2 linked regions of the Oryzias latipes genome follow. The protein of the gene in region 1 interacts with the protein of each later gene in a biochemical or structural test. Links are inferred from orthologs where the notes say so. Each region holds a gene or a part of one and is shown on either strand. Other genes may lie near its edges.

The links.
Region 2: of the proteins of dapk3 (region 1) and pawr, one has a biochemical effect on the other in vitro, tested with the Homo sapiens proteins (2 studies listed by BioGRID). The link is inferred for Oryzias latipes from reciprocal best matches to the Homo sapiens genes DAPK3 and PAWR.

Annotation. Positions count from the first base shown.
Region 1 is NC_019875.2:30,203,778-30,210,129, forward strand, and holds the start of dapk3 (death-associated protein kinase 3), read right to left. Parts: upstream 3,842-6,352; 5' UTR 3,735-3,841; intron 3,702-3,734; exon of another isoform or gene 3,273-3,701; intron 3,178-3,272; 5' UTR 3,152-3,177; coding exon 3,090-3,151; intron 2,590-3,089; coding exon 2,229-2,589; intron 2,006-2,228; coding exon 1,876-2,005; intron 1,804-1,875; coding exon 1,755-1,803; intron 1,670-1,754; coding exon 1,643-1,669; intron 1,560-1,642; coding exon 1,407-1,559; intron 1,219-1,406; coding exon 1,173-1,218; intron 1,020-1,172; coding exon 483-1,019; 3' UTR 1-482. Other genes in the region: sppl2b (signal peptide peptidase-like 2B), read left to right, coding at 5,585-5,632. UniProt on the Homo sapiens protein: Serine/threonine kinase which is involved in the regulation of apoptosis, autophagy, transcription, translation and actin cytoskeleton reorganization. Involved in the regulation of smooth muscle contraction.
Region 2 is NC_019881.2:19,317,379-19,323,556, forward strand, and holds the start of pawr (PRKC apoptosis WT1 regulator protein), read left to right. Parts: upstream 1-2,337; 5' UTR 2,338-2,522; intron 2,523-2,769; 5' UTR 2,770-2,892; coding exon 2,893-3,396; intron 3,397-6,178. UniProt on the Homo sapiens protein: Pro-apoptotic protein capable of selectively inducing apoptosis in cancer cells, sensitizing the cells to diverse apoptotic stimuli and causing regression of tumors in animal models.

The DNA of each region.
Region 1 (6,352 bases):
CCTTATTGCAAGAACATCACTGGAGTCAAACGGGTAAAAGGCGGGAATGTGCCGCTGGAAATGGAATGACTGAAGTTCTCAGGTCTAAGACTCAAAGCTGCAAAGAGTCTTCATGGTGAGCTTCCATGTGCGTGGTTCGGTTTCCATGGCGACGGTGAGACTGAGTTGTCTTATGAGGTTGAAAATGTTTCAGGCACTAAAATGTTCGTACATTCACGAATCTAGTAAAGCTCGTCTCATTAAATAATTTCCTGGTCCTTTATGTTCACGTGAAAATGACTCATTTAGGAAAATCATTCTAAAAAGTCATAAATGTAAAATGTTAAGAACTTACTGCAGTGAGTTTGGGATAAAAGTCTAGAATGGAATGAACATCCTCATAACGTACAGCTTTAGGATAAAAATGCAGCTCGACGCATAAAAGCAGTAAAACTATAAGCAGTTCCTACAACTGCAGATGGAGTCTTTGGACCAGAACCGGTCTAGGCCAAGCTGACTGGGCTCAGGGCGGCCTTCTCCTCAGAAAAGGACTTCACCAGCTCCTCCACCCAGCGCACCTCTGAGGCCACCTGCTCCGCCAGGACCTCGTACCGGTTCTCCAGGCGGCCGAACCTGCGCTTCAGGATGCTGGCGGCCTGCGTGGTGAGCCGCGTCTCCTCCTGGCACTTCTTCCGCTGGGCCTGGGTGCGCTGCAGGTCTTGGCGGATGTGGCTCAGGTCTAAGGAGATGCTCTGGTTCTCCTCCTTGTACCAGCCCTCCTTCTCCTCGTAGATGGACAGCAGCGCCGCCACGTCCTCCTGGCAGGAGCGCTGGTTGTGCTCCAGCTCCTTCAGGCCCTCCTCTGCAGCCGCGATCTCCTCCAGCACCTGGGAGAAGCGCTCGAAGTTGACGTAGGTGTTGTTGGGGGGCATGCTGGAGTGGGACTTGATGGTGTACTCCTTCAGACGGGTGGTCTTCAGGCGCCGGCGCTTGGTCTTCTGGTCTCCCTCCTCTGGCCGGACGTTTCGTCTCTTAATGACCTGAGAGGGAAAGAAGGTATGAAGCAAAGATCTGATTGGAGGGGAAACGTCCTGCTGATTTGATTTCTGCCCCCTGCGTGACGCTGATGTCTGAGGGAGACGTTCATCCACAGAAATGTTTCTAACCTTTATATCAGAAGCTCGGACACTCACCTTAATCCAGGGATGCTCTAGACTGTCGTCAATCGTCATCCTCTTCCTGCAGGAGGTCAGAGCAGTGAGAAACGCACACTTTCACATGATGCCACCTTTTTTCTCTTAATAAAGGTTCCCTCAAAGAAGACAAATGGAAATCTTTGAAATGAAGCAGCATAGAAACATTAAAGCATAACCCGTGTCTGATAAAGGAACCAGGTTAGTCACTACAGACACTAGAAACGTGGTTACTTTGGATCCTTGACCAGGAGGCGGCGAATGAAGTCCTTGGCGAGCTCGCTGGTGTTGCTGAAATACTCCTCGTCAAAGTCGTAGTTGACGGCAGAGATGTTGGTCAAAGTCTCCTGCTTGGTCTCGCCCAGAAACGGAGACGCTCCGCTCAACCTAACGCACAAAACCACGTCAGACCCGACCCAGGACGACCCCACCCCACCCCACCCAACGCTGAGACGGGACGGCTGACTCACAGGATGTACGTGATCACGCCGATGCTCCTGCAAAGACAACAGACATGAGTGTGGGCTGGACAGGTGTGCAGCTTCAGGTGAGATGCTGAGGGGGGAGGGGGGGGAGGCTCACCACATGTCCGCCTCCAGGCCGAGCGGCTCGTAGTTGACGATTTCAGGAGCTGCAGACCAGAACGCCGTCATTAGCATCAGATCTGAGGATCGACTCCAGCAGAACCGCCGGAGAAACTCACCCACAAACTCTGGAGTCCCGAAGATGTTCTTGAACTCGTTTCCTGCTTTAATCTGGTGAGCGATCCCAAAGTCGATCAGCTTGATCCTGGGGTTGGGAACGTTCTTGTCCAGCAGCATGATGTTCTCCGGCTGAAAGATAAGATGCAGAACATTTCTGGACTGAAGCCTCACCCAACGACCTTCAAGGTCACAAAACGTCTTTTTATGTGTTTGTGGTGTTCTTAAGGCGGAATGACTCGCTGCCTCCTTAAGGGGGTCAGATTGAGGGTTTTTTTTTTTCTGGTGGCGACTCCGACTTGTAAATCCCTCATGAGAAGCAGCAACAACGTCCTTTTCCCGCCATGCTGCTGACCTTGAGGTCGAAGTGAGCGATGCGTTTGGAGTGCAGGTACTGGACGCCGTCCAGGATCTGCTTCAGGAACTGCGTGGCCTCCTCCTCGGTCAAAGACTCCTTCTCTGCGAGGAAGTCGAAGAGCTCTCCTCCGGACACCAGCTCCAGGATCAGGATCACGTCGGTCTTGTTCTCGAAGATGTCGTGCAGGGTGATGATGTTGCTGTGCTGGATCTCCCGCAGGATGTTGACCTCGCGCTCGATCTCCTCGCGGCTCACCCCCCGCCGGCTGGAGGACAGACGCCGCTTCTTGATGAACTTGGCCGCGTACTCGCCGCCCGTGCTCTTCTCCCTGCACTTACGGACGATGGCGAACTGGCCGCTGTGGAGAAGCAGAGGCGTCAAAACCTCCAACCGCACGTTTGACAAACGCCAAACTTGAACAAAGAGAACATCTGACAGAAATCGGCTTCTTGGTAATAAAATGACAAATTCAAGCCTTTAGGGGAGTTTATTAAAGGTAATGAACAAAAACAGATGATCTGATGCATCAAGAGGAAAATGTGACCAAAAAAGGACAAAAACCAAAAGCAGCAGCTTGCAGAGCGACTGCTCCCCTAATGAATGCTGGAGTCAGCAGTTTTTTGAGCAGAGACGGACTTTTGGACGCAGCAGAGGTAGAAGGGGGCCGTGAGGCGCCACGTCACATTTCTGCTGCATTACTGCACAACATTCACTTCGCTCATTCCCAAGCTGAGCAGCACAGAGGAGCATAAAAACGTTTTACTTTCGCAGATGGATGGTGCTCCAAAAACTGACTCCGGAGACTGCATTTCCCAGAAGGCATTGGCATGACAGGTGACGTTTCACAGACGCTCTTACCTGCCCAGCTCCTCTCCCATCTCATAATGCAGCTCCACGTCCTCCTGCCTGAAGCCAGCCATGCTGCTGACTTCACTGATGATCGTTACTGCCATGGAAACGGGAGAGTCATGTCAGACACCGACAGACAGCCAAAGTGTGTCCATCCGCGAAGGAAACTAACACCCTAACGCCGCCGGTCACCTCCGTTTGGGTCTGAACGCCATATTTGGGCATCGTGAGTTTCTAGACTTTGGGGCTGGTGTCAGCCCTCCACATACCGGCCCTCCTTACATCATCTCCTCCAGCTGCGAGCGGCTCCGTTAAAGGGACATCCACACACAACCGACGAGCGGGTTTCCGGTTAAAAAGAAGCGGCAACACCGGGGATCACCGTTTTTCTACCGGTGATCGGTAGAAAGCCCCACCTCTGTTACAATTTAAGTAAATATGAACACAATTACATTACTGAACTTTTTCACGAATGATCGCAAACAGATGCTTGAATACTGCTAGCCTCCCAGAGCTAGCATAAAAACCCGGTTTAACGGTTTAAAAACTACTGTTCAAGCCAACAGAAGCGCGTTATTGATTCCCAGGCATGTGTTTCCGGTGAGAACGCGAGTATTCAGAAGTATTTCTACTGGAATATAATAAGATACTCACGGGAATACTGCCGAGGAGCGCTGCTTTCATTAAACTGAATCTTCAGCTCGACGAACAGACGGAAAGCTAACAGGAAGCTTCCGGTCTGGCACTTCAAAATAAAGGTCTGTCAAACGACTGACATAAAACATCAATGTTCATGTTATGCTTTTAAATTTGTTTTATTTCTTAAACAGCTTCAATTAAAGTCATTTAAAATAAAATTATACCCCATGTATGTTTAAAAAATAAGCATTGCATTACAAATTGTTTTACTCTTATTTTTTGTTCTGTATTTAGAGCCATTGGCCCTTATTAAGCTTTTAAGTCATGTTTTTGTCATGTGCTATTGTTCATTAGATAAAGAATAAAACACATTTTAAAAAATTAATAAATGGAATTAAAAAAAATTCACTTTACAGGTTTGTCTTTTTCCTTTTTTGCTTTTCCCCAGACCCAGTTCTGATGTTTCCAGTCCATTGTGACGGTAAGGGGAAAGACTCATGCATAGTAAAGGGAAAAGCATTTTCATTACCATACATGGAGGTAATCAGAGCCTCCAGTCAGCAGAAACAACAGAACATATGAATCAATAAAGACATGTATAAATATATCCATGTGTGAATGGACAAATGAATGAATACATTAATAAATTCATGAAAAAAATGAATAAACAAACCTAGATCTGCCATCTAACCTTCATGGAGACAAGCCTCTCTGATTTGGTCACTCATCTGTTTCCAACGACACTATTTTGATTTTTTTTTTTTTTTTTTTTTTTTTCCCGAAGAAAAAAATATTCTCCGTCCACTTAGTCATTACTTTTCATTTCTTTACTAAATTACTAATTTACTAAAGAGCTTTATTTTGAAGTCCCGCTGGTTTGCTTTCCGGTGCGGGTGATGATCTTAACACAGGCAAAAACCTGGCAGAAGGGAGAACATATGGAATGACGTCATCGAGGCTCTGCAGCAGTACGTCAGTACACAAGACTGTACCTGCGGGGTCTGCAGTATGCGTCTAAACTTCAAGGGAATCCACAAAGGGAGACCAACGGCAGCGCATCCCGTTACTAAACATTAAAAACATAGAAGTACAACATCAGAAGCGGGATCGCTCTGGTGAGGCTGAAGAAGGCAACTCTCCACCAAACAACACTATTCTCATACTGAGGAAACGTCTCATGACTCACGTTACTGTCTGCGGATTTGTGCTGGTGACCTCACCTGAGCCTTGCTGCCGCGGGATAAAAATTTAACAGTATTATGAATGACTCATAAAATATCAAGTATCAGCTTACTTCAAATTGTAACCGTTAACCATTTTAACATTGGTTGGTTGCTACACTGTGGAGAGATAAATACTACCGATTATTAATTCGGATTTAAAAAATGTGTTCCACCACATATATAGGATACTGTGTTATGAAAGTGCCATTAAGGTCCTGAATAATAATATTTACAAAACGGTAGTTCCCTGACCGGGAATCGAACCCGGGCCGCGGCGGTGAGAGCGCCGAATCCTAACCACTAGACCACCAGGGAGCACTGCGCGGCGTATAGTAAAGAGAGGTATTATCACATTGTTAGTGGAATCGATAGGGCACGAGTATTGACAATGTCAGATTTTTCTCATTTCTTTGATTGTAACTACATAAAATTGAACTGCAGAGTGACGTGTAGAATGATTTTATTATGTACGTGGGTTTACGGTCACTGGTTTAGACCGACCTCTGTTATAACCAATCAAAATCGGGTTTACTTGCAAAGGCCAGCAACAGCCAATGACAAGTCCTGACTTAATTTACAGGCGGGGTTTACGGTGAAGCCGGTAGGTTGGTTGATGGGGAAAACAACAACAAGCTAGACAACATGAGGCTCCCCGAAACACTGATTTGGGCCGCTTTCCTCGTCCAGAAGGTGAGATCAATTACAATCACGTGACCAAAAGTTTGTTTATTTATTTCGTCACCAAAAAAAAGACAGGTCGGCAACAACGCAGGTCTCCTTTTTCTGTGGCGTGTTAGCATGAATGCTATGTCCGTTAGCTTGCGGAGATCCCTGTGGGCCCTGACAACCCACGCAAGGCACGCATCACCTTCTGGTGTGACATTACGGAGAACCGCGTCTTTAACGGGAAAAATCATAGGACGCGAGCTAAAGATTCCAACTCGGCATGTGTCGTGAGGAGAACAAGCTTGGCGGCTACAGTTGGAGAAAACATCTCGACTTTAGCTCGGTGACTCAGCCATCAGGTATTTTTACTCCGAGGTCGTCGTCTCTTCCGCGTGACACCATCCCAACTTCCGGTTTGATGCTGAAGGAAAAGCTGCGTCCTCCTCATCCTCCTGAGACATTTTAACCACCAAGCAGCAGGGTGATCTGCTTCGAACCCTCTTTATTATTGTTGTTCATATTTCTTTACTAGAGTAAGAAGAAGACAGGTTAAATATTTAATCATCTAGGTCGCAGGGGAAAAAACTGACATTACTGTTTGACTGAAAATACACAAAAACAAAGATGTAAAGAAAATCAGAACAGGAAATCTAAACGACTCACTTAAGACAAAGAAAATATTAAGACGGGAGTAAAAATAAAAATTTGTATTAATAGTTAGTATTGCTTTACGCCGCTGCACTT
Region 2 (6,178 bases), on another chromosome or scaffold:
AAACATAAAAGCTTTCTTGGTGCTCACTGGACTCCGGTTCTGTTCAGAATCCATAGGAACTGAATTTCTATGTGCAGTCAGGGACTGGAGGGGGTCTGATTTGGGGACCACAGGATGTCCTCTCTTTGCAGATGATGTTGTCTTGTTGGCTTCATTGAGCCAAGACCGCCAATGAGGCAATTGTGGGCGTGGCCGGGATGGCCAAGTTTAAGTTTGTCCCCTCCGGGTGGGTGGAGTTGTCCTGCCCCAGGTTGAGTAGTTGAAGTATCTCAGGGTCTTGTTCACGAGTGAGGGAGGAACAGAGCGTGCAATCGACAGGCGGATTGGTGCAGCGTCCACTGTTATGCGGTCGCTTTACCATTCTATTGTGATGATGAGAGAGAGAGCTGAGCCAGGAAGCAAAGCTTTCAATTTACCGATCGATTCTCGTTCCAATACTCATTTTCACAGAAAAAAACCCTGAAATAAGTCAATAATTCTTAAAATTTTAAAATGCTCCTTAAATAAAGCAACAAATCTTCTAATGGTGTAAAAAACAAACATCTTACCAAGAACTCTTATTTAAAAAAATAAATTCTAGTACCTTAGATAAACCATTGAAAAGATTCCGTTTTTTCTGTGCATGAAAAATACCACAAGAACATGTTAAAAAAACAACACTATTTTTATTAAAGCAGGTCTTTAAAAAAGACAAATGGAAAAGAGTTATAATCAACTGAACAAAGAGAAAGTTGTAGTTTTTCAGAAGCTTATTTGATGACAGCTTTTCTGCACCACAAGATCCAGCAGCTGTGAGGGTCAGAGTCACTGCAACACAGCAGGAAAAACTGCCCCTCAGTGAAATCCATCAACATATCTGTTAGCGTTAAAAGTCACGGAGAGCATTTCCTCCTGCTGAAGAGAAGAGGAGCCATGTGGTTTGTGAAGGAGCTAAGCAGGAGAGATTTCAGCTGATGGTGCAGATTTTTTTTTTTTTAAGGAGTCTGGCTGCTTTCCATCTGGAAACTGGAGCTGCAGGACTGAACTGTCGGACCTTCAGTCCAGACTAGAACCCACAGATCAACGTCAGACTGAAGATCAGCTGATCCATATCATGCTAAATCTGTTTTTTTTTTCCTGGGAAATGTTTTTAAATAAAACTGCACCTTTTTGAACTTTCACACGATGCACCTTTTCCAAAACAGCGTAAGAAACGTTTTAGTTTGATGCAAACCTCCAGTCCACACCCATTCCCTCCTCAGGCATTGCTTCTGTTGGGAAAACAGTGGAGGCGCTCCTCTGATCGGAGCTGGCTGGGTGACTCCTGCAGCGCCTGGGGGGAGTCTGTGTGGGAGAGTTCAGTCGCAGACAAGCTCTGGTCTGCCCAGACGCTCCTCTCCGACTGCACTACTGTCGACGTGGTGCTGCTGAAGGAGCTGTGGTGATGTACGTCAGAGCTGCGAAGGCGTGCAGTGTACCTACTGATGTTGATGGACAGAAAGGATTCCTCCAAATGTACCGCCAAAACATCAGAAACGTTACCGGCACTGTGATGGAACAAAAAGGGCCGTCTTTGGCAAACCTTGTAGAAAAGACCACCTTTTTCCTGCACAAACACGAGTTTTTAGACAATTTCTTAAAATGGAAATGTTTTTCTCAGAGTTCAGCTCAAAATGAGCAAAAAACTTGTAATTGTAAATAAATAAATGAATCTCCAAATCATCAAATCTGAGGATAAATGGCAGAGATCAATTATTTTATTTAAACTTAAAGTAGGTTTTATTGATATGTGTCATTTACATACATTTCGGAAGGCAATTATATTATTATTTTTATTATTAGAGGAACTTTATTATACTTTAGTAGTATTTTATCGTGGACTTTTAGGTTTTATTTTAAGTTTTTGTTTTGTTTTTATCTTTTCAGCCGTAATTCTTTTTTTTGTTGCTACAAATTGCAGTAAAACATTGCAAACTGCTGCAAATTTGTACTTTTATTAGTACTTTCATATTTAAAAAAATATATTTGAACCATATAAATTCTATAGTCATTATTTTGTAACACAAAATACAGTTGTATCATCAGCAAATGATAGAAAACAAACAAAAAAATACTGAAATGAATTGAAATGATATTTCAAATTATGAAATATCATGAAATATGAAATTATGAAATGTATTTTAAACTTTAATGTCAGTGGTGTTTTATCAAAGACATAGAATATTAAGTGTTTTATTTTATCTTTTGTTCATTGTTTATTAAAATTAAACATGAAAAGCATAAAATAAATAACGACAAATAATATACACAAAACATTTATAACTAAGTCCTAAAAAAAACCAAAAAACAAAAAACAAAAGAAACTTTAGAGCTTCGGCTTTATCCGGAAGTGCTCGTGTGTTTTCGCCATCACCTCCGCGAGGGCAGAGCGAGCAGAGAGCCGCACGCAGCGCTCCGGAGCAGCGCCACTCATCTGAGCGGAACACGTTCACACCTGGTCTGACAGAGGAGGGCAGTTCGACGGCAGAAGCGGCGCCTCTCAGGTGAGTCTCCGTCACAGCCTCGCTGCTCCGTCCTCCACTGTAAAGTCCGGTAGTTTGGGCAAATTTAAATAAAAGAAGAAGAAGAAGAAGAGGCCAGAGTAACTTTGCGAGGAAAGTCAGGTGTGTGTGTCTGTTTAAAAAAACAAAAAACTCCTGCGCGGAATCAAATAGGGCGTCTCGGTTTGGAAAAACGAGCAATTAAAAAAACAAAAAAGAGGTGTTGACTTTATTTTCTTGTACCTGTCAGCAGCTCCTGGGTTAATCACTTAAGGAATGCGGCGCCATTAGGACGGGGGCCGAAAGCGGAACACTTTAGTCAACTTTGACTCAACTTTCACCAACTTGTGAGGAGAGAAAAAGCCCGGGGGTGATGGCCACGGGCGGGTTTAAGCCAAACGCCACCACCGACTTTCTGGAGGAGTGGAAGGCAAAGCGGGAGAAAATGCGGGCCAAAATGTTGGGGGACATCGCCGCGGCCACCGGCGCCAACAACAGCCGCCACGCTTCTCCCGCCGGCGACAGCCCGGAGCGGGGCGCCTCCGCCGGGAACTGCCACCCCTCCCCTTGCGCGGTGGTTCGGTCCTCCTCCGGCGGCGCTTTGAGGAGAGCGGAGGAGGAAGCGGCGCACCACCCCGTCTCGCCGGAGAGCAGCCCGAGGAAGGCCACGCCTCAGGCGGACAAGGCTCCCTGCGCGTCCCCGGACTCCAGCCCCATGGCGTGCAACGACGCCGACAAGGAGAGTCCATCACCCGGCAAGGGCAAGGAGAAGAAGAGCTCCGGCCCCAGCGCCAGGAAGGGCAAGGGGCAGATCGAGAAGAGGAAGCTGAGGGAAAAGAGGAGATCAACAGGTGTTGTCAGCATACCGTCCAATGAGGTGAGTCCGTCCGTCCGCCCGGGGCTCCATCCACGGGATGAGGGCAGATAAATGTAGTCTGACATTTTTCAGATCACTATACCCGATCACTAAAGTGGACCTGATCCGATTCCAGTTTGATACCAAGTCCCGATCCAAAACTTAACACATTCAATAATGAACAAATTAAATAAACGGGTCCAGGTTGTGCCCTACTTTACATTTAATTGACCTTAAGTTATAAGTTATGCTTCATTGTGGCCTTTTTAGCCAAAAGTAAAAAAAACAACAACTTGTCATTTCACTTTCTAGGACATAGTTTCTGCAGAGGGGCAGTCTTTAATTAGAAACTTACCTCAGAGTTGTGGGTTTGTGAGACTGTATGTTTGGAGTAAGCCCACCCCCTTTTCCCATCATCCAACGGTTTACTCTCTCTCTCCCGCTAGCTTACTGCCCTTCACGCCACCGAGCTAACATTACAGGCGCAACAAAAACGGCGAGCAATATCGGAGCCCTCCGGCCGTACAGTTGAGATCCAGATTCAGATGTGTGACGAGAAGTGGGGCGGGCTTACGCTGTGCCAATAGCCCCGCCCACAACTTGGAGTCGGATTTCTTATGAGCTCCTGCCGCTCTGCAGAAACTATGTCCTAGAAAACCACACGCTGGGAACGCTTTTACAATAGATCAAAGGATGATCAGAGTGGGACTTTGAAGACAAACCAGTAGAGACACTCACTGTCAACTTTAAATGTTTCTTGAAAGATTTTGAGCCTGGTAGTCAAATTCTGTGAATTTCTTGCCGACTTCGCTGAACTGTTTTTCTGTGCACCTCCTGCTCAAACAAGTGTCGTATTCTGCTGCGTTTTAATGCAATAAAGTGATCCGTTCATGATATGAAGACTTCTACCAAGGCATTTATGTGAAATAATAAGTTAGAAATATGAAACTACATGATCTGGCCTGATCTCCGATTGTAGTTGGATTGGGACTTCCTTAGTTTTAGGGGCGCCAAAAGACTTTTTCTTTGTTTTATAGAGTTGGAAAAGGATTTAACCTTCTTCTTTTTCTAAATACTTTCTAAAAGTAATCACATTTGGAGAACTTGTTCCCTCAGAAACCTCCAAAATTCCTCTCATGCATGTTAATCCACCATCAAGAGAAAGAAACGAAAAGCAGCTCTTGCAGGGAGGAGGGGGTGGGGGTGGGGGGGGGGGGTAAGGTGGAGGTCATTGTTTTTTTAATTTGAATGGTGTACCACTCCTGCCTGGTTCCTTTCGTCTCACACGTGTGGTTCTGTGTGGCCCTACCCTTGGATAAAGTCTCAACCACCTCGTCCTTGGTAGCCTCCCAGGGTTCTGTGCTCCCAGGAGTTGGAGCTGTTGTCGGTCGCTGCTCCACATCCTGTCATTAGGTGCTCAGCAGGGCCGTTTGAAAGCCAGCCAGGCGGTAATGCCGGGCTTCTGCTCTGCCAGATTTGTCTGATGGAGCCCATAAGGGAGCCGGTTGGTGAACAAGCTGTTATTTCAGGGTCTAATCTGACGAGGTGGGGAGGTTTTTTTTTTTCTTTTTCTTTCCTTTCGTCAATTTTTCAGTCTTTGAAATTGAAACCTGGGCTGCATTTGTCCCTCAGGCCGGACTTTGGACACGCCTGACCTAAAGGACACACGCCTTTCTTTCTCTGACATACACCCTAACAGAGTTCTGCTTACAAACAATACATTTTTAACCCTTGTGCTATCTTGTGGGGTCACAATGACCCCACATCGACGTGTTCTCCCTACATGATAAAGGTGGAAAGATTTTTTGTAATCCATGGACACCAGTGAAGATCACAAATCATTGAAGAAAAAAAGTTCAGCGCACTGTCTAGTGGGTCTAGATGACCCAACTCCCAATGTTAAAGTGCTTAGGATAGCACAAAGGTTAAAGGAAAATATTTTAGTCTTTTGCCAAGCATTTTCTCTTTCACCTTTCAGAATTCAACAATTTGCACACTCATCAGAAATTTCGCCATTCTGGTTAAACGTATTACCGATCAAAAAGAGGAATCATTTGTTGCCATAGCAACAGGAGATGTTTCGTCTTCCGGGCTTCACCTCCAACCGGGTTATGATTGTAGCCACTTCCTAACACAACACCCATGCAATACTTTATTGTTGGGGTGGGGGTGTAGTTCTTTTTGTGAGGAGACTCTTCCTTATCGATGGACGTGCTCCATTGTTTTGGAAAACATCCCATCGTTCCTGATGGGGACGTGTCCTCCTAGACCTCCCTCCCTGCTCCCGTTGAAAGAACAAAACCCTGCAGAGTCACACAAGCCCCCTTTTGTGATGTGGATGCGAATGGACGGGTGTGAGCGGACATGGCTGCCATTATCTCCCCGCCCGTTCCGCACAGAACAATGGCCGCCGAGCCGATTTCAGAGCAACCGGGAAACCCAATCTTCTGCCCGTTCAAGGCTGTAACTGCTCCATAAAAGCATCCCGCTTCAGGGGAGAGAGCGCGGCTTCAATCACTGCCACCTCCGAGGGCGTCTCCGTTCTGCCGCTCCGCTCGCTGCCTCAAACTGTCGCTGACCCTTTGACCTGGTTATGCAACCCAGGAATGTGCAGAGGGGAGTTAGGAGGCCTTCCGTCCTGGTAACTCCTGTTTGTGCTGAAGTATGACTCCTGTCGGTGAGTTTCCCGGTGGACCGTGTCGGTCGTTTATGAGCTACACGAGTGATGAGGTTGCGGTTAGACTCCTGTTGAGGGCTTTGCCCTCATGCAGATGCTTAAATGTCCCACTGCTGCTGCTGCTGC